4 linked regions of the Saccharomyces cerevisiae S288C genome follow. Changing the gene in region 1 together with any one later gene gives a genetic interaction. Each region holds a gene or a part of one and is shown on either strand. Other genes may lie near its edges.

Region 1 (4,507 bases):
TTTTTGATTTCAAAACCTTTTTCTTTTCAGCAGTAGCATCTTCTTCAGAATCGGACTCTGAACCACCTTCCTTTTCTGCTTCTATAAGCTTCTTTTGATTTTCCAAAGCTTTTGCTCTAATCTTTTCTGCTAAAGAAGTTAATTCATCGTTAGCCTTCTTTTCCTTTCTCTTAACAATTTTGGACATTTTTATAGCTGATTCAGTGAAGTACTTAACAGAATCTTGGTATATATTGCTTCTAAGATATGTCACAATTCTGTGTATACCATGTACAATTGCTAAATGCTCATTGATTAATTTTAAATTTTTCATTTTTATCGCCTTAGACGAAATTGAAATTTTTCACTGAAAAAAAAAAAAAAAAAAAAGTAGACGAAGAAGCTCATCTCATCGCGATATTAGTTCGATATCTGGGTTTGAGTGAGTAGTATGTTTAATAATAAAAGAGTATAATCCAGATATAGCAGACAATAAAATTTCAAGATGGCCAAGAGAAGACAAAAGAAAAGAACACATGCACAGCTTACACCTGAGCAGGAACAAGGTATACCTAAGTCAATGGTAATCAGAGTGGGTCAAACTTCTTTGGCCAACCATTCTCTGAACCAATTAGTAAAGGACTTCCGCCAAATCATGCAACCACATACGGCTATAAAATTGAAAGAGCGCAAGTCCAATAAACTGAAGGATTTCGTTGTTATGTGTGGCCCATTAGGTGTTACGCATCTTTTTATGTTCACTCAATCTGAAAAAACAGGAAATGTCTCCCTAAAGATAGCTAGAACTCCGCAAGGTCCTACTGTTACTTTTCAAGTATTGGACTATTCTCTGGGTAGAGATATCAAAAAATTTTTGAAGAGACCTAAATCGTTGAATAATGATGATGTATTAAATCCTCCATTGCTAGTGCTAAACGGGTTTTCCACATCCAAAAGATCTGGTGAAGACGACCAGGATGTAAACGTGGAGAAGGTCATTGTTTCTATGTTTCAGAATATTTTCCCACCTCTGAATCCTGCGAGAACTTCTTTGAATTCTATCAAACGTGTATTTATGATCAATAAAGACAGGGAAACAGGGGAAATTTCTATGCGCCACTATTTTATTGACATTCGAGAAGTAGAGATCTCTAGAAACCTAAAAAGGCTTTATAAAGCCAAAAATAATCTAAGTAAAACAGTGCCGAATTTGCATCGAAAAGAAGATATTTCTTCTTTGATATTAGATCACGACTTAGGCGCCTATACATCAGAATCTGAAATTGAAGATGACGCTATCGTGAGAGTAGTTGATAATCAGGACGTGAAGGCAAAGCATTCTCAAAGTTTGAAGTCCCAAAGAACACCGGTCGAAAAGAAGGATAATAAAGAGCGTGAAAAAGAAACAGAAGAAGAAGATGTGGAAATGGAGGAACCTAAGCCTTCAGAAAACTTGCAACCAACCCCACGTAAGAAAGCTATCAAACTAACTGAATTAGGACCAAGATTAACTTTAAAACTGGTCAAGATAGAAGAAGGTATTTGTTCAGGTAAAGTGTTACATCATGAATTTGTTCAAAAATCAAGCGAAGAAATCAAAGCTTTAGAAAAGAGACACGCTGCAAAAATGAGGCTGAAGGAACAAAGAAAGAAGGAACAAGAAGAAAACATTGCTAAAAAGAAGGCTGTTAAAGACGCTAAAAAGCAACGTAAATTGGAAAGAAGAAAAGCTAGAGCAGCAGAAGGAGGTGAAGGTCAAGGAAAAGATGATGCGATGAGCGATGATGAGTCTTCATCAAGTGACAGCGAACATTATGGTAGCGTACCAGAGGATCTAGATAGTGACTTATTTAGTGAGGTCGAATAAATTGTTCTCCGGTACCAAGAAAATTTTAGTTAAGCCTGGCTATCCACCAACGCACGTATACTTCTTCACTTTAGATAAATTGCATACTTGATACATATAAACTCTTTGTCTTTTAAATCATAGCCCAAAGGAAACGTAGATCTCAGAAGGCATGTGAAAAAAAATTCGATCTTACCTTTTTTACGCCATTTTAAGCTACTGTTTCGATACATGAGCGTGGCTGGTACATTGAAGGTGGGCAATCGTCCACTTATCTAAAGACAGCTTATCAGCATGAAATCCAAAACGTGGATTTTCAGGGATGTCTTATCTAGTCACCGAACCAAAGCGTTTGATAGTTTACTTTGTAGGAGACTCCCTGTATCAAAGGCAACGAAGCATCTTCAACTGGGAGAACATTTCCTGTTCTTCCCACCATCATTCGAAAAATTGGATAGAGATGGTTATTTTAACTATCAAAATCCTGCAAGTTTGCTAGGAAACCCTGATTTACGCTACCGTAGAAGGATTTGGGGACAAGGAGAGCTTGTTCAGTATTTACCAGTCACCTTAGACCAGGAGTATACATGCCACGAATCAATCAAATACGTAAAAAAAATACGAGATGAACATGTTGTCTGTATTGAAAGAACCCTTTTACAAGAAAGGCCCGAAAATGTGTCGAGTCCAATGGACATTTGCTTATTCGAGAGAAGGGTATTAATGTACACCAATTCACCCGCAAACAAGACTGCAGTCAAGATGCCCGTAGGAGAGGAGAACTATAAGATCTTAAAAAATTTTACTGTTACTGATATGGATATTGTAGCTTATGGTCAGATGTCTTTGAATCCGCACCGAATTCATTGGGACAAAGAGTACAGTCGCTATGTTGAAGGCTACGACGATATTATCATGCAAGGACCCTTCTCGGTCCAATTACTACAGAAATGCATCCAACCTTTTCTCGAACAACCAATCAGACAGTTGCGATACCGCAATTTGAATTATATATATCCAAACACTACTTTGAGCATATGTCAGTCTTTAAGCTCTTCGAGCGGAATGTACACATTTCAAATTAGGGACCTCCAGAAAGCCAACTTAGTCTACATGAAAGCTGATGTTTTCTGTTGACTACCAGTAATTGTCTCTCTGCAGATAATCACTACCTGTGTGTTTCTTGTCTCTTGAAATAATACTAGTAGCTGCTGAACAGTGGAAGGTCACGAACGAGATTACCATAATATCTCGCCATCACCAGGTTGACGGTAAACGCATTACGGGAAGAACTGAAAAAAAGGTGGGAAAAAAAAATAAAAAGTAAAGTGAAAAATTAAATGTAATGTATATTTCCATTTTGACGCAAAGTACTTCCCTCTATCAGTTTTGTATCTAACTGCAGAGTAAAGTCGTGTTTTGCTTAGTTAACTTATATACAAGTCAAAGCAAAAAAGATGTCCGATATCAACGAAAAACTCCCAGAGTTACTACAAGACGCTGTCTTGAAAGCATCTGTTCCTATTCCAGATGACTTCGTTAAGGTTCAAGGTATTGATTACTCAAAGCCTGAAGCCACTAATATGAGAGCAACTGATTTAATTGAAGCTATGAAGACCATGGGTTTCCAAGCTAGTTCTGTTGGTACTGCCTGTGAGATTATTGATAGTATGAGATCATGGAGAGGTAAGCATATTGACGAATTGGATGACCATGAAAAGAAAGGTTGCTTCGATGAGGAAGGGTACCAAAAGACTACTATCTTCATGGGTTATACTTCTAACTTGATCAGTTCCGGTGTACGTGAAACTTTACGTTATTTGGTGCAACACAAAATGGTTGATGCTGTCGTTACTTCTGCTGGTGGTGTGGAAGAAGATTTGATCAAATGTCTTGCTCCAACTTACTTGGGTGAATTTGCTTTGAAAGGTAAATCTTTGCGTGACCAAGGTATGAATCGTATTGGTAACTTGCTTGTTCCAAATGATAACTACTGTAAGTTTGAAGAATGGATTGTCCCAATTTTGGATAAGATGTTGGAAGAACAAGATGAATACGTAAAGAAACATGGCGCTGACTGTTTAGAGGCTAACCAAGACGTGGATTCACCAATCTGGACCCCATCTAAGATGATAGATCGTTTTGGTAAGGAAATCAACGACGAATCCTCCGTATTGTACTGGGCCCACAAGAATAAAATTCCAATCTTTTGTCCATCTTTGACTGATGGTTCAATCGGTGACATGTTGTTTTTCCATACTTTTAAAGCATCTCCAAAACAACTAAGAGTTGACATTGTAGGAGATATCCGCAAAATCAATTCAATGTCCATGGCCGCTTACAGAGCCGGTATGATCATCTTGGGTGGTGGTTTGATCAAGCACCACATTGCCAATGCTTGTTTGATGAGAAATGGTGCTGATTATGCCGTTTACATTAACACTGGTCAAGAATACGATGGTTCTGATGCAGGTGCAAGACCTGACGAAGCTGTGTCTTGGGGTAAGATCAAGGCTGAAGCCAAATCCGTCAAACTTTTTGCTGATGTCACCACTGTTCTTCCATTGATTGTTGCTGCTACCTTTGCCAGTGGTAAACCAATCAAAAAAGTTAAGAATTGATGAGAGAATTTTGAGATGAAAAAAAAAAAAATGAATCTGTACTATTTCTTTTTTTAGTGCA
Region 2 (5,229 bases), on another chromosome or scaffold:
AATTAGCGTTTTCTTCGTTGAGTCCTTCAATGTTCAACGTCGTTACCGAGGCAATATATTTATACAAAGAAGAGTGCTTTTCAAGTTTTTCTAGGACCAGTTTTATAAGAAGGTTGGAAGTTGATTCGGTCGATAAATTGATTTCATTGTCATCTTTTAAACTATCATAACTTTCTTGAATTAACGTAACTAGTTTTCTTTCGGGCAGAGGAGAGTTATCACTCCTTCCATCCTTTATTTCAATCTGCATACTCATTTTTTTGTTGACTTTCGTAATCACTTACTTTCACTTATCCTAAATAATTTACAGTGCGTTTTGTAAAACTGCAAGACGGTATCCGCTAATAGAGAGAAGAATACGTATTTTCTAGTAAAGAAATTTACAAAAAAGGAGGTATATTGGCATCGCTATTTTCGGATAGAATGGCAAGAGCGATTAAGTATAGCAAACTGGGAAATGTATAGAGACAAGAAATAATGAGACTCTCTCTTCAAGTATCTTTGAGCACGTATCAGATAACTAATGGTTATATCGCTTGTTACGGTCGGTGATACTTCACTTTGAAATAGATATTAGCACGTGTCTCGGAGAGAAGAAAATGAATGCTGCATTATACAAAATAGATAACAGTATTTAAGAGTCCATATTTCCATAACCAGCGACTTGCATACACGTAACATACGATTTACTACATTATCGAATACGATTAAACACTACGCCAGATTTCCACAATATGTCTTCAGCACCATTATTACAAAGAACACCTGGGAAAAAGATCGCTTTGCCCACACGAGTTGAGCCAAAAGTGTTCTTTGCCAATGAGCGTACCTTTTTGTCGTGGTTGAACTTTACAGTTATGCTGGGAGGCCTTGGTGTAGGTTTACTGAATTTTGGTGACAAGATAGGTAGGGTCAGTGCAGGACTATTTACTTTTGTTGCCATGGGTACAATGATATACGCGCTTGTAACATACCACTGGAGAGCTGCTGCGATTAGACGTAGAGGATCAGGTCCTTATGATGACAGATTGGGGCCCACTTTGTTGTGCTTTTTCTTATTGGTTGCTGTCATTATCAACTTTATATTAAGATTGAAGTACAATGACGCTAACACTAAGTTATGAAATTGTAATTCCAATATCGTAAGCGTGGGTTACGCACAAACTGTATTTTCAAGATGCTCACAAATAATTTAGTTTCATATATACGCATATATAGAAAGTATCCATCTATAGGTAATCATGAACAATAAAAATATTCACGTTTCAGGAGCTATTGTTTGTACTCATTACGTTTTTGGATATCAAGTTGAAAATCAGCCCCTTTCACTAGATATCAAGCGCTATAAAAAAATTTTAATTTCGATGAGGCATCTTTCTTTTCTCTTGTGGCTATGTAAGCCTAAGAAGCCGTTTACACATCAATGATAAATAAGTATACAAAAAGGGTTCCATTTTTTTTTTTGGCCGCTACCGGACTAGCAAGGGCCTAATGGTACGCTGAGCGTAGTACAACCAAGCGCTTGTTAGCCGTAGAGTTAAGCTCTTGACTACTATTACGGTAAAAGCCGGGAACGTGCGTAACAATTTTTTTTTGCATTAGGTTAAAGAGGCTCGCTCGCGGAGCCTTTAGAATACCGCTTAAGGCGCCAAAAGATGGAAGCTATTCTCTTTCTTTTTTTTTTCACAAACTGAGAGGGGTTGTGTATCGTTAAAAATGTTGGAAGACTTCTGACTCATCACTACGCAGATTGTTAGAGTTTTTCGATGAGAATGGCTTCAAAGAACAGAACAAAACACGATTATATAAGCCCCATGTAAAAAGAACGTCTTAATTTATTTTGAATTTAGGACTTCTTGACATTTTTAGCATATATAACAATACGATAAGTGTCTCATCAAACGTGGTTAAGACAGAAAACTTCTTCACAACATTAACAAAAAGCCAAAGAAGAAGAAATGCTTTCTCGCACAAGAGCTGCAGCTCCGAATTCCAGAATATTCACTAGAAGCTTGTTACGTCTTTATTCTCAAGCACCATTACGCGTTCCAATTACTCTTCCAAATGGTTTCACCTACGAACAGCCAACAGGGTTATTCATCAATGGTGAATTTGTTGCCTCGAAGCAAAAGAAAACGTTTGACGTGATCAATCCATCTAACGAAGAAAAGATAACAACTGTATACAAGGCTATGGAAGATGATGTTGATGAAGCCGTTGCAGCGGCTAAAAAAGCTTTTGAAACGAAGTGGTCTATTGTAGAGCCGGAGGTTCGCGCTAAAGCTTTATTCAATCTCGCTGACTTGGTTGAGAAACACCAAGAAACACTGGCTGCCATTGAGTCAATGGATAATGGTAAGTCATTGTTTTGTGCGCGCGGTGACGTCGCTTTAGTATCTAAATACTTGCGTTCTTGCGGTGGTTGGGCAGATAAAATCTACGGTAACGTTATTGACACAGGTAAAAACCATTTTACCTACTCAATTAAGGAACCATTAGGCGTTTGCGGCCAAATAATCCCTTGGAACTTCCCTTTATTGATGTGGTCATGGAAAATTGGGCCTGCTCTGGCTACAGGTAACACCGTCGTATTGAAACCCGCTGAAACAACACCTTTATCTGCCCTTTTCGCTTCCCAGTTGTGTCAGGAAGCAGGCATACCCGCTGGTGTAGTCAATATCCTTCCGGGTTCCGGTAGAGTTGTTGGAGAAAGATTGAGTGCACACCCAGACGTGAAGAAGATTGCTTTTACAGGCTCTACTGCCACCGGCCGCCATATTATGAAGGTCGCTGCCGATACTGTCAAGAAAGTCACTTTGGAGCTGGGAGGTAAATCACCAAATATTGTGTTTGCTGACGCTGATCTAGATAAAGCCGTCAAGAACATTGCCTTCGGTATTTTTTACAACTCTGGTGAAGTTTGCTGCGCTGGTTCCAGAATATACATTCAAGATACAGTATACGAGGAGGTGTTGCAAAAACTAAAGGATTACACCGAGTCACTAAAGGTCGGTGACCCATTTGATGAGGAAGTTTTCCAAGGTGCTCAAACATCTGACAAACAGCTGCATAAAATTTTAGACTATGTCGATGTAGCAAAATCAGAGGGGGCTCGTCTTGTGACTGGAGGGGCCAGACATGGCAGTAAAGGTTATTTTGTCAAGCCAACAGTGTTTGCTGATGTCAAAGAAGATATGAGAATTGTTAAGGAGGAAGTGTTTGGTCCCATTGTAACTGTATCCAAGTTTTCTACTGTTGATGAAGTGATTGCTATGGCAAATGATTCTCAATATGGGTTAGCCGCAGGTATTCACACTAACGATATTAACAAGGCTGTTGATGTGTCCAAAAGAGTGAAAGCTGGTACTGTTTGGATAAATACCTATAACAACTTCCACCAAAATGTTCCTTTCGGTGGCTTCGGCCAGTCAGGTATTGGCCGTGAAATGGGTGAGGCTGCTTTAAGTAACTACACTCAAACAAAATCTGTCAGAATTGCCATTGACAAGCCAATTCGTTGAAGTAACTCAGGCCCGAGTTGACTGCTCATTGAAGGTATGTATGATAAACATTATAGAATAATGAAAAATGCCTCGTGACATACAGATAAAATCTAACAAGGATATATTCAAAAAAAAAAAAACAAAACAAAAAAATAATAACGTGATAAACATTAATGAACAATGTATTTACATTCTTAAGCATAGGTGAGAAATTACCTTCTTTACTTTTTTTTTTTTTTTTGGTGATATTGTATATTGAAATATATAGTAATCAAATTCGTTTCATTGATCAAATTGCTCACTAGTTCTGTTTTTCAAAATTTCATCTTTATAGGTAGATACAAGTGCCAGAGAGATATATAAACAGAAAACTCTATCGATGTGATAATGTATGCCAATATCGGGACTGTACACCCACACATTTACAAGCCCACACATCCTACAACTTTCTTTTCATTTCTTGCGCTTCTTCCACTGTCATAAAATATGATTGTCCGATGCCGCAGCCTACGCCTCGGCGAGTATTCATCACCTAAGCGTCCTGTAGGCGGGGCCACGCAGTCACTAACGGAATACTCCAGAAGGCTGCTTCCTTTGGAAGGAAGTTTCACTCGGTTGTCCACCCAGCGCTTTAACTTTGTCTCAGCGAAGAAGAATTGAATAACTATAGTGAATTTCAAGAGCTAGAGGATGGTTAGGTATTAGTTCAAAACAAAGATTTCAAGAAACCAACATAGATTAAGCAGAAATGGTATGTTAAAAAGTGCTCAGATGAAAGATGACGTCCCATATTCCATGTTAAAGTTGCCATGAGTTAGTATAAAAGGCAATAAAGGTACCATAACGAGAAAAGAAAGTAAAAGAAGAAATGTTTTGCAAATTTAAGGTGGCGTAACAGCAACTATTGGCTAATATATTAATGGCAATCATTGTGAAAAGAAATGTGAAATCCGTATCGTAATTGGTTAAATTTATAACTCAAATTTAAACACTCGAATAGCTGACCCGTAATATTTTATCCCGCTTTAAGAGTTCAACGCTAAAAAATGATATCTAGCTAACCATTATGCTACAGGAACCTTTTTTGGACTATTATCCCTATCATGAAAACTGGAAGGATCTTTCAAGGACGCCATTTCCAAAGATTTCCCCCACACTGGAACCTATTTTACTAACAATTTTTAAAATGGTTTTTTACCTAAATTGTTTTTTCTCAGTCTGACGCTGTTACTATCCGTACTAGAAAGGTTATCTCCAACCCATTGTTGGCCAGAAAGCAATTCGTCGTCGACGTCTTGCACCCAAACAGAGCTAATGTCTCCAAGGATGAATTGCGTGAAAAATTAGCTGAAGTCTACAAGGCTGAAAAGGACGCTGTCTCCGTTTTCGGTTTCAGAACCCAATTTGGTGGTGGTAAGTCTGTTGGTTTCGGTTTGGTCTACAACTCTGTTGCCGAAGCTAAGAAGTTCGAACCAACTTACAGATTAGTCAGATACGGTTTGGCTGAAAAGGTTGAAAAGGCTTCCAGACAACAAAGAAAGCAAAAGAAGAACAGAGACAAGAAGATCTTCGGTACTGGTAAGAGATTGGCTAAGAAGGTTGCTCGTCGTAACGCCGATTAAGCAAACTAACTTCAAAACGTTAAATCATTTTTACGGATTGTTTAGTTTTCTATATATAAATATGTGTATCTTTTTCCAATAAAAAATATAATCAATAATTTTAA
Region 3 (5,218 bases), on another chromosome or scaffold:
ACTACCCCTATCTCACACTAGTACGTAATTCAATGTATCATTCGTATTGTAAGTAGATAGAGACGCAATACAGGAAAGCTGACCTTCCTTCCAATCACCACGGCTGAAATGCTTTGTTGACCAATTACGGACGCTTAAGAGCGGACGCGGCTGGAACGGCTCCATCCTAAATCGGCGGAGGGAGAACTCCGATACCAGCCGACATGGCAATAATAGTGACAGTAGATGCTACCAGCCCCGCAATAATTTCACAGTAGATCATCAACAGTCTCCTCATTTCTGGAAATGATCAGCAACTTCGACGGATTTAACTCTCAAGCAGTTACGCACTCCGAGAACAGCCGTGATCATCTTTGAACAAGCAAAATATATAAAGCAGGAGAACTGTCCTACCTAGAGCTAGAATAGCCATAACTAACTATGTAACATTCTACAGATCAATCAAAAACAATCTTCAATCACAGAAAAAAATAAAAGGCATGTCTGACAGAGAACAAAGCAGCGGCAACACCGCTTTTGAGAACCCTAAGGCACTCGATTCTTCCGAGGGTGAGTTCATCTCTGAAAACAACGATCAGAGCCGCCACTCGCAAGAGTCCATATGCAAAATATATACTGCGGGCAAAAACAACGAGTATATTTACATCGGCCGTCAAAAATTTTTAAGGGATGATTTGTTCGAGGCATTCGGTGGTACTCTGAATCCCGGTTTAGCCCCCGCGCCAGTCCATAAATTCGCAAATCCTGCTCCACTAGGACTTTCCGGTTTTGCCCTCACTACGTTTGTCCTATCCATGTTCAATGCAAGAGCCCAAGGCATCACTATCCCTAATGTTGTTGTTGGGTGTGCCATGTTTTACGGTGGCCTCGTTCAACTCATTGCTGGTATTTGGGAAATCGCTTTAGAGAACACTTTCGGTGGTACAGCCCTGTGTTCCTTCGGCGGTTTTTGGTTAAGCTTCGGTGCTATATACATCCCTTGGTTTGGAATTCTAGATGCCTATAAGGACAAGGAATCCGACCTTGGAAATGCGCTAGGGTTTTACCTCCTAGGATGGGCACTCTTCACCTTCGGTCTTTCCGTCTGCACCATGAAATCAACTATAATGTTTTTTGCCTTATTCTTCCTCTTAGCAGTGACCTTCTTACTTCTATCCATTGCAAACTTCACAGGCGAAGTTGGCGTCACTAGAGCTGGTGGGGTCCTTGGTGTGATAGTAGCCTTCATTGCCTGGTACAACGCTTACGCAGGTATTGCCACAAGACAAAACTCGTACATTATGGTCCATCCATTCGCATTACCTAGCAATGATAAGGTGTTCTTCTAAAAACACAAAAGTGCAGGCTAAAATAACTTTTACCCCTATTATATATTCTTATGATCCATTATTTATGAAAAGCCCAGCAAATGTCGAACAAATCGGCCTTTGTTTTATTTCACATAGAATCCTTTATAAAACAACACTGTTCTCATGCATTTCCGAACTATTGTTCTTGTTGTATAGGAGCACGGTTTACCCCTTTTGCTATTGACACATGTAATATCGCATAAAAAAGAAACCGCACTTCATAGTGCATAAGCAGTACAGAAATGATATCACATGTAAGTGATAGCGATTTGACTGTTTGCTACCGACAAGACTATCTGAAATAAGAAAAAAAACGACCCCAGTGAGGGTTGAACTCACGATCTTGCGATTAACAGTCGCACGCCTTAACCAACTTGGCCATGGAGTCACTTTAAATTCTGCAGAACGTGAAAGGTTCGATTTCCATGATCTACACGATTTTAATCATCTGTAAGCCTTGCCATGAAGCTAAATTGGTGAATTTTTAAGAATTGTTTTGTTGGAACGAGAGTAATTAATAGTGACATGAGTTGCTATGGTAACAATCTAATGCTTACATCGTATATTAATGTACACCTCGTATACGTTTAAGTGTGATTGCGCCTATTGCAGAAGGAATGTTAAACGAGAAGCTCAGACAATACTGAAGCTGTGTTAAAGACCTATTAGTTGAACATGTTATGGTAGGTACATATATGAGGAATATGAGTCGTCACATCAATGTTTAGTAACTACCGGAATCACTATTATATTGGTCATGATTAATATGACCAATCAGCGTGTGTTTTATATACATCTCTTATTTAGTATAAGAAGATCAGTACTTATTTCTTCATTAATACTAATTTTTAACCTCTAATTATCAACAGAGGAATATGAGGATTCCTAGATCCTCGAGGAGAACTTCTAGTATATTCTGTATACCTAATATTATAGCCTTTTTCAACAATGGAATCCCAACAATTATCTCAAAAATCACCTAAGCCTCACATGCATGTTTTACGTTGTGGTTGATGATCTATTGATGTTGAGGTACCATATTTTGAAATTCATTAAAACAACTTCTACCGGGCGTGTGGTCTAGAGGTATGATTCTCGCTTAGGGTGCGGGAGGTCCCGGGTTCGAGTCCCGGCTCGCCCCCATTGATTTATTTTTATCAAATTTTTTAATATTGCATATCTTTAGTGGGCAAAAAATTTTTCCCTGGGCAAAAATATAAGAGAGCTCATCTTATTGTTGTCAGCCCAATGATTCCCTTGTCAAATTGAATTTTCGGATTTACTTGTTCAGGTACCCGCGTTAAGGGGCTGCCGCGCCTGTCACTCTAAGAAAAAAGGAGCCATCAAAAACCATTCAGCATTAACTAAAAACGCGGGTAGAGATTACTACATATTCCAACAAGACCTTCGCAGGAAAGTATACCTAAACTAATTAAAGAAATCTCCGAAGTTCGCATTTCATTGAACGGCTCAATTAATCTTTGTAAATATGAGCGTTTTTACGTTCACATTGCCTTTTTTTTTATGTATTTACCTTGCATTTTTGTGCTAAAAGGCGTCACGTTTTTTTCCGCCGCAGCCGCCCGGAAATGAAAAGTATGACCCCCGCTAGACCAAAAATACTTTTGTGTTATTGGAGGATCGCAATCCCTTTGGAGCTTTTCCGATACTATCGACTTATCCGACCTCTTGTTGTTTGAAAATGTCAATTGATATCCATCCATTATATAAATGCTCAAAACTTGCAGCAACTATTCTTTACCCTTCCCCTGTTATGGATTGCTAGTCTTAAGGGGGAAATTTGCTGTTTACTAAAATACAAACCAGGTTTGTTTTGGCTTTTATTTGCATTTAAGTAATTACAATTACAACCATTAAAAAGAAAATAAGGCAAAACATATAGCAATATAATACTATTTACGAAGATGTCAGCGATATTATCAACAACTAGCAAAAGTTTCTTATCAAGGGGCTCCACAAGACAATGTCAAAATATGCAAAAGGCTCTTTTTGCACTATTGAATGCTCGCCACTATAGTAGCGCCTCCGAACAAACGTTGAAGGAGAGATTTGCTGAAATTATCCCAGCAAAGGCAGAAGAAATTAAAAAATTCAAGAAAGAACACGGTAAAACCGTTATTGGTGAAGTTCTTTTGGAGCAAGCTTATGGTGGTATGAGAGGTATTAAAGGCCTTGTTTGGGAAGGTTCCGTGTTAGACCCCGAAGAAGGTATTAGATTTAGGGGTCGTACTATTCCAGAAATTCAAAGGGAACTACCAAAGGCTGAGGGTAGTACAGAACCTTTGCCAGAAGCTTTATTTTGGTTGCTTTTGACTGGTGAAATACCTACTGACGCTCAAGTTAAAGCCCTTTCTGCTGATTTAGCTGCCAGATCAGAAATTCCAGAGCACGTTATCCAACTTTTAGATAGCCTCCCAAAAGATCTACATCCAATGGCGCAATTTTCTATTGCCGTGACTGCTTTAGAAAGCGAGTCTAAGTTTGCCAAAGCATATGCTCAAGGTGTATCCAAGAAAGAATATTGGAGCTATACATTTGAAGATTCGTTAGATCTGCTGGGTAAATTACCTGTTATTGCTTCCAAAATTTATCGTAATGTGTTCAAGGATGGTAAAATTACTTCAACCGATCCTAATGCTGACTATGGTAAAAATTTGGCCCAACTTTTGGGCTACGAAAACAAGGATTTTATTGACTTAATGAGACTATATTTAACTATTCATTCTGATCATGAAGGTGGTAACGTTTCTGCCCATACTACACATTTAGTGGGTTCTGCCTTATCTTCGCCATACTTATCTTTGGCCGCTGGTTTGAATGGTTTAGCTGGCCCATTACATGGTCGTGCCAATCAAGAAGTTTTAGAATGGCTATTTAAATTGAGAGAAGAAGTGAAAGGTGACTATTCAAAAGAAACAATTGAAAAGTACTTGTGGGATACTTTGAACGCAGGGAGAGTTGTTCCTGGTTATGGCCATGCGGTTTTGAGAAAAACTGATCCTCGTTATACGGCTCAACGTGAATTCGCATTGAAACATTTCCCAGATTACGAGTTATTTAAGTTGGTCTCCACCATTTATGAAGTTGCCCCAGGGGTTTTAACTAAGCATGGTAAAACTAAGAACCCATGGCCAAATGTTGATTCACATTCCGGTGTTTTATTGCAATACTATGGTCTAACTGAGGCTTCGTTCTACACTGTATTGTTTGGTGTTGCCAGAGCTATTGGTGTGTTACCCCAATTAATCATCGATAGGGCTGTTGGTGCTCCAATCGAAAGGCCAAAATCATTCTCCACCGAAAAATACAAGGAGTTGGTAAAGAAAATCGAAAGTAAGAACTAAGGAAAATTTGATTTTTGATTCAGGGTATGCGACTATTCAAACACGTATTTTCATATACGAATGAGTAGTTTATAATTTATATAAATATATATTACATAAGGAAATGGCTATGACTTCATGATTTTTACGCTTTGAGTCCCCTATGCCTACCGGTTATGTTATATACTTGGCAAATGATATCAATGAATAGAAAACAAAATGCTCTTAAATTCCTGCAAAGCGCTTTCAAATCGAATTGTGGTGGGCTGGCGCGCTGATTTAGCAGTAAAATCTAGCCTGTAGTCGATATACTACGTCAAGGTGTAACTAACGTTTATATGTATATGAACCTGCAGAAGAAGCAAAATGACAAGGTTAATGCATCTTTATCTGTCCTAGAGTAGAAGATACACTAAAAAGTTGATAAAGCGAATATAATATGGTCATGTGAAAAAAGCAATCTCATAAAATTTTCTCTTTTTCCTTTTTTTCTTCTGTTCTTACCTCAAGATAAATGTCACTTTT
Region 4 (4,785 bases), on another chromosome or scaffold:
TCAGCGACTGTCATATTTAGATGTCGATGACGTGTGTAGCGTAAAAATTTATATTCGCCAGATAGACCTCTCATAATTAATTGACATGCGACCTTGTTATTGATATGAATGCCATTATTGTTCAGTCTGTCGATAATGTTTGTGACTTTTGTTTCAAATGCATCTGCAGGTGTACTGCCATTATATTGCAAATTTGCCAGGGTCACAATGTCGTTTGCCTCTTGGGTATCAGATTGCATTTTTTCAATACTTTTGGAAAGAATTTTCATGATATCCGTATAATCAACGGATAGGATGTCTTTGACCCAGGTAGGTAGGAATTGAGAGGGAGCAAATATTTGAAAAGTGTTATACAAGAAGGTGAGTTCATCATCAGTGATCGGACGTACGGGTTTTCCGTTTACTGTCGGAATAATACCACCGAGATTCGAGTTTTGTAAAAATTTGATGTATGTTTTAACCCAATTTGGAAAGTCATTAGGTGAGGTTAACATTGGTGGTGGTCTGACATATTTTTTAGTGGATGTCATATCAGAGTCCGCTGAGGATGAATCAGTAAATGTATTACCTGACTCAGGTGATGGAGTGCTCAGAGGCGTTCCAACTGATGATGGATACTGCGGAAACTGTGATTGTGGCCCAGGTGGAAAGTACATAGGCGACATTTGATAAGGTGTATACGGAATCATAGATGGGTGTCCGTAAAATGACCAACCAGATGGATTGGCTTGGTTTTGGGTCATCATGCACTGCTGTGGGTACGGCCCATTCTGTGGAGGTGGTACTGAAGCAGGTTGAGGAGAGGCATGATGGGGGTTCTCTGGAACAGCTGATGAAGCAGGTGTTGTTGTCTGTTGAGAGTTAGCCTTAGTGGAAGCCTTATCATATTCTTGAATTTTGGAAGCTGAAACGTCTAACGGATCTTGATTTGTGTGGACTTCCTTAGAAGTAACCGAAGCACAGGCGCTACCATGAGATATATGTGGGTAATTAGATAATTGTTGGGATTCCATTGTTGATAAAGGCTATAATATTAGGTATACAGAATATACTAGAAGTTCTCCTCGAGGATATAGGAATCCTCAAAATGGAATCTATATTTCTACATACTAATATTACGATTATTCCTCATTCCGTTTTATATGTTTCATTATCCTATTACATTATCAATCCTTGCACTTCAGCTTCCTCTAACTTCGATGACAGCTTCTCATAACTTATGTCATCATCTTAACACCGTATATGATAATATATTGATAATATAACTATTAGTTGATAGACGATAGTGGATTTTTATTCCAACAAATAGTTTGATAATTTTTGGCATTCCTTTTTTTGGCAAAGGTTATATATAATATTATGTGTAGTTCTCCTCGAGGATATAGGAGTCCTCAAAAAGGAATCTATATTTCTACATAATAATACTATGATTATTTCTCCTTCTGTTCTATATGTTTTATTATCCTATTACGTTATCAATCCTTGCATTTCAGCTTCGTCTAACTTCGATGACAGTTTCTCATATCTTATGTCATCGTCTAACACCGTGTATGATAATATATTGGTAGTGTGACTACTAGTTGTTAGACGATAGTTGATTTTAATTCCAACACTTACCTATTTATCAGTGTCATTACTAAGAAGGAAATTTTTCATTAATAGTATATAACGTGCTGAGTCTTCCCAAATTGATTGAAACGCGCAAGTGGTTCAGTGGTTAGAATTTATGCTTCCCAAGCATGAGGCCCGGGTTCGATTCCCGGCTTGCGCATCTGTTTTTGCAAAACAGACTAGGAAATTCAGACGTTTTGTTATTTTTTTTTCCATTTCAATTATTAAGCTTTAATCAACCTTTATGTATACCCTTGTTAAGAAGAACATTAAATACAAACACTATTAAAAGATTTTTAGTAGAATTTATAAGGATAAATGAATATATACAAAGGGAAAAATTAACATAGAATGTTGAGTAAAAGCTCTGAAAAGAAAACGGATGTCAGCTCCATACTTGTCTAAGCAATAATCGAGACATAGAAGTCTTCCTCTTTTGAAAGCAGTTCATTCTCTTCCTAATATAATCATTTAAATTTGGCAAATTGATCCAGTAAAGCTTGACCTAAGTAACCTGGAGATTCAACGACGGCAACACCAACATCTCTCAAAGCTTGTTTTTTGGATTCTGCATCAGTTCCAGATCCTTCTACAATTGCACCGGAGTGACCCATTCTAACACCTTTCATTTGACCAGCAACAGTTCCTGCGATGAAAGATGCCACCGGCATCGGCTTACTCCTGCTAAAGTTGTATTCTTTGAGAAATTGAGCAGCTTCGATTTCGGCCTTACCACCTATTTCACCTAACATAATAATACCTTCTGTAGTTTCATCTTCTAGAAATAATTTCAAGGCGTCAATAAAATCAGTACCGGGAAAAGCATCACCACCCATACCAATAACCAGTGATTGACCAAGGTCAGTTTTTGTAGTTTGCTGAACAGCTTCGTATGTCAAAGTTCCCGATCTGGAAATAATACCGATTTTACCAGCTTGAAAAATTTTTGGGGGCTGGATACCAATTCTTACCTTTGTTGCTGGGTTAATGATACCAGGGCAGTTGGGCCCAACTAATCTTGTTTTATCTTGTGTCTGCAACATTTCTGCAATGTATAACATGTCATGTTGAGGAATACCTTCAGTGATACATACAGCTAACGGAATTTCAGCTTCAATAGATTCTTTAATGGCAGCAGCTGCGATCGGTGGAGGAACAAAGATGGCACTGGCAGTGGCTCCAGTCTCCTTAATCGCGTCCTTCACAGAGGCAAAGACAGGTTGGCCTAAATGTGTTTGACCCGCCTTTTTTGGGTTCGTACCACCCACAACATTTGTACCATATTCTTGAGAGATGCTGGCATGAAAAGTACCTTGTTTACCTGTGAACCCCTGAAAGATCACCTTGGTGTCCTTGGGAAGCAGCAAATTTTTGATCGTCTTATCGTAAGGAATAGATTCTCTGTGAAAGTGACGACAAATTTTGAGAGAAGCTTTTGAAACGGTAGATCTTAACATTATCAAACTGAAGAATAAATGGTCTGCAAAAGAAATTTTCTATGAAATCGAACGTATATAGAGTGGTAAGTAACAAACAGAACAACAATTAGGGGAAACTTGTCTCCTTCCAGCTTTTATATCGCTTGATTAAATCCAACTGTGGTAAGCCTATATATACGCAGTGTGCTGTGAACAACTCTCGAACAAGGATACTTAATTGACAATTGCAAAGCACTTAAGGGCTCTATTACCATCTGGATATCAGTCTCGAGAAACGCCTTTTTTGTTTCTGTTTTTATAGCAGCAACTTTGGGTCCGAGGTTGGGGTAGATCCGTTATCCAGCCGCTGGTTGGGCCGTGCAAGATGACTTATTTGAGAATGGCAATATGAATAAATGGAGATGATGAACGCCCACGAAGTAGCAAACACTTTCAGGTAAATTACTAGTCAATAGTACATAAATACAGGGATACAATCGCACCTAACATGTCGCAAGAAGAAGCAGAATCCAGTATTATTTATGAGGAACCCATTGATATTCCGTTAGAGGATGATGACGATGAGGATGAACTGGAAGAAGAAAATAGCGTACCTTTAAGCAGCCAGGCGGATCAAGAAAATGCGGAGAATGAGTCAGACGATAGTGTCGATAACGTAGTTGGATCTGAGACACCCAGAAGTGTAACAGGTCTTTCTGTTGACCCAAGAGACGTTGCAGACGAAGAAGATGAAGATGAAGAAGGGGAAGACGAAGATGAAGACGAAGACGACAATGATGTTGACAATGAGGACGAAAATGATAATGATAATGCCAACGAAAATGAAAATGAATTAGGGAGCTCTAGAGATAAGAGGGCACCACCTGCTGTGCAGACTAGTAAACGTTATAAGAAATATCCGAAGCTAGATCCCGCAAAAGCACCTCCCGGGAAGAAAGTCCCGCTACATCTTTTGGAGAAGAGGAGACTAGGACGTATTAAAGCTGCTGAAGAATTTGCCAAGACGTTGAAAAAAATTGGCATTGAGAAAGTGGAGACAACTACTTTACCTGCCACTGGCCTGTTCCAACCTTTAATGTTAATCAACCAAAAAAACTACTCATCAGATTATCTGAAAAAAGACGATCAAATATTTGCACTTAGAGATAGAAAATTTTTGAGAAATAACAACACTAGCCAAATATCTAGTACCAACACACCAGATGTTATAGATTTAAAGAGTTTGCCCCACTCAGAAGCGAGTGCAGCACCACTTAATGACGAGATAGATCTAAATGATCCAACAGCAACTATCGTGATACATCCTGGATCAAATTCTATAAAGATAGGATTTCCCAAAGATGACCATCCTGTCGTAGTTCCAAATTGTGTAGCGGTACCTAAAAAATGGCTGGATCTTGAAAATAGTGAACATGTTGAAAACGTTTGCCTTCAAAGAGAACAGTCAGAAGAGTTTAACAACATAAAGTCGGAGATGGAAAAGAATTTTAGAGAACGTATGAGGTATTATAAAAGAAAGGTACCAGGTAATGCTCACGAACAGGTAGTATCTTTCAATGAAAATTCCAAACCTGAGATTATTTCAGAGAAAAATGATCCATCTCCTATAGAATGGATATTTGATGACTCAAAATTATACTATGGTTCAGATGCATTGAGGTGCGTGGACGAAAAATTTGTTATTAGAAAGCCTTTCAGAGGTGGCTCTTTTAATGTCAAGTCACCATATTATAAA

Evidence for each region.
Region 2: mutations in HTD2 (region 1) and ALD5 together harm fitness more than expected from each alone (negative genetic interaction), as found in Saccharomyces cerevisiae (3 studies listed by BioGRID).
Region 3: mutations in HTD2 (region 1) and CIT1 together harm fitness less than expected from each alone (positive genetic interaction), as found in Saccharomyces cerevisiae (4 studies listed by BioGRID).
Region 4: mutations in HTD2 (region 1) and LSC1 together harm fitness more than expected from each alone (negative genetic interaction), as found in Saccharomyces cerevisiae (4 studies listed by BioGRID).

What each region holds. Positions count from the first base shown.
Region 1 is NC_001140.6:228,851-233,357, forward strand, and holds HTD2 (hydroxyacyl-thioester dehydratase HTD2), read left to right. Parts: upstream 1-2,119; coding exon 2,120-2,962; downstream 2,963-4,507. Other genes in the region: RNA-dependent ATPase RRP3, read right to left, coding at 1-187; SSF1 (rRNA-binding ribosome biosynthesis protein), read left to right, coding at 485-1,846; DYS1 (deoxyhypusine synthase), read left to right, coding at 3,283-4,446. UniProt on the Saccharomyces cerevisiae protein: Mitochondrial 3-hydroxyacyl-thioester dehydratase involved in fatty acid biosynthesis. Required for respiratory growth and for normal mitochondrial morphology.
Region 2 is NC_001137.3:302,072-307,300, forward strand, and holds ALD5 (aldehyde dehydrogenase (NAD(P)(+)) ALD5), read left to right. Parts: upstream 1-1,958; coding exon 1,959-3,521; downstream 3,522-5,229. Other genes in the region: TDA2 (Tda2p), read right to left, coding at 1-256; VTC1 (Vtc1p), read left to right, coding at 735-1,124; 40S ribosomal protein eS24 RPS24A, read left to right, coding at 4,252-4,254, 4,721-5,125. UniProt on the Saccharomyces cerevisiae protein: Minor mitochondrial aldehyde dehydrogenase isoform. Plays a role in regulation or biosynthesis of electron transport chain components. Involved in the biosynthesis of acetate during anaerobic growth on glucose.
Region 3 is NC_001146.8:629,118-634,335, reverse strand, and holds CIT1 (citrate (Si)-synthase CIT1), read left to right. Parts: upstream 1-3,274; coding exon 3,275-4,714; downstream 4,715-5,218. Other genes in the region: putative ammonium permease ATO2, read left to right, coding at 480-1,328. UniProt on the Saccharomyces cerevisiae protein: Specific citrate synthase with catalytic activity only with acetyl-CoA.
Region 4 is NC_001147.6:591,340-596,124, reverse strand, and holds LSC1 (succinate--CoA ligase (GDP-forming) subunit alpha), read right to left. Parts: upstream 3,069-4,785; coding exon 2,079-3,068; downstream 1-2,078. Other genes in the region: YOR142W-A (gag protein), read right to left, coding at 1-1,013; ARP8 (Arp8p), read left to right, coding at 3,538-4,785. UniProt on the Saccharomyces cerevisiae protein: Succinyl-CoA synthetase functions in the citric acid cycle (TCA), coupling the hydrolysis of succinyl-CoA to the synthesis of ATP and thus represents the only step of substrate-level phosphorylation in the TCA.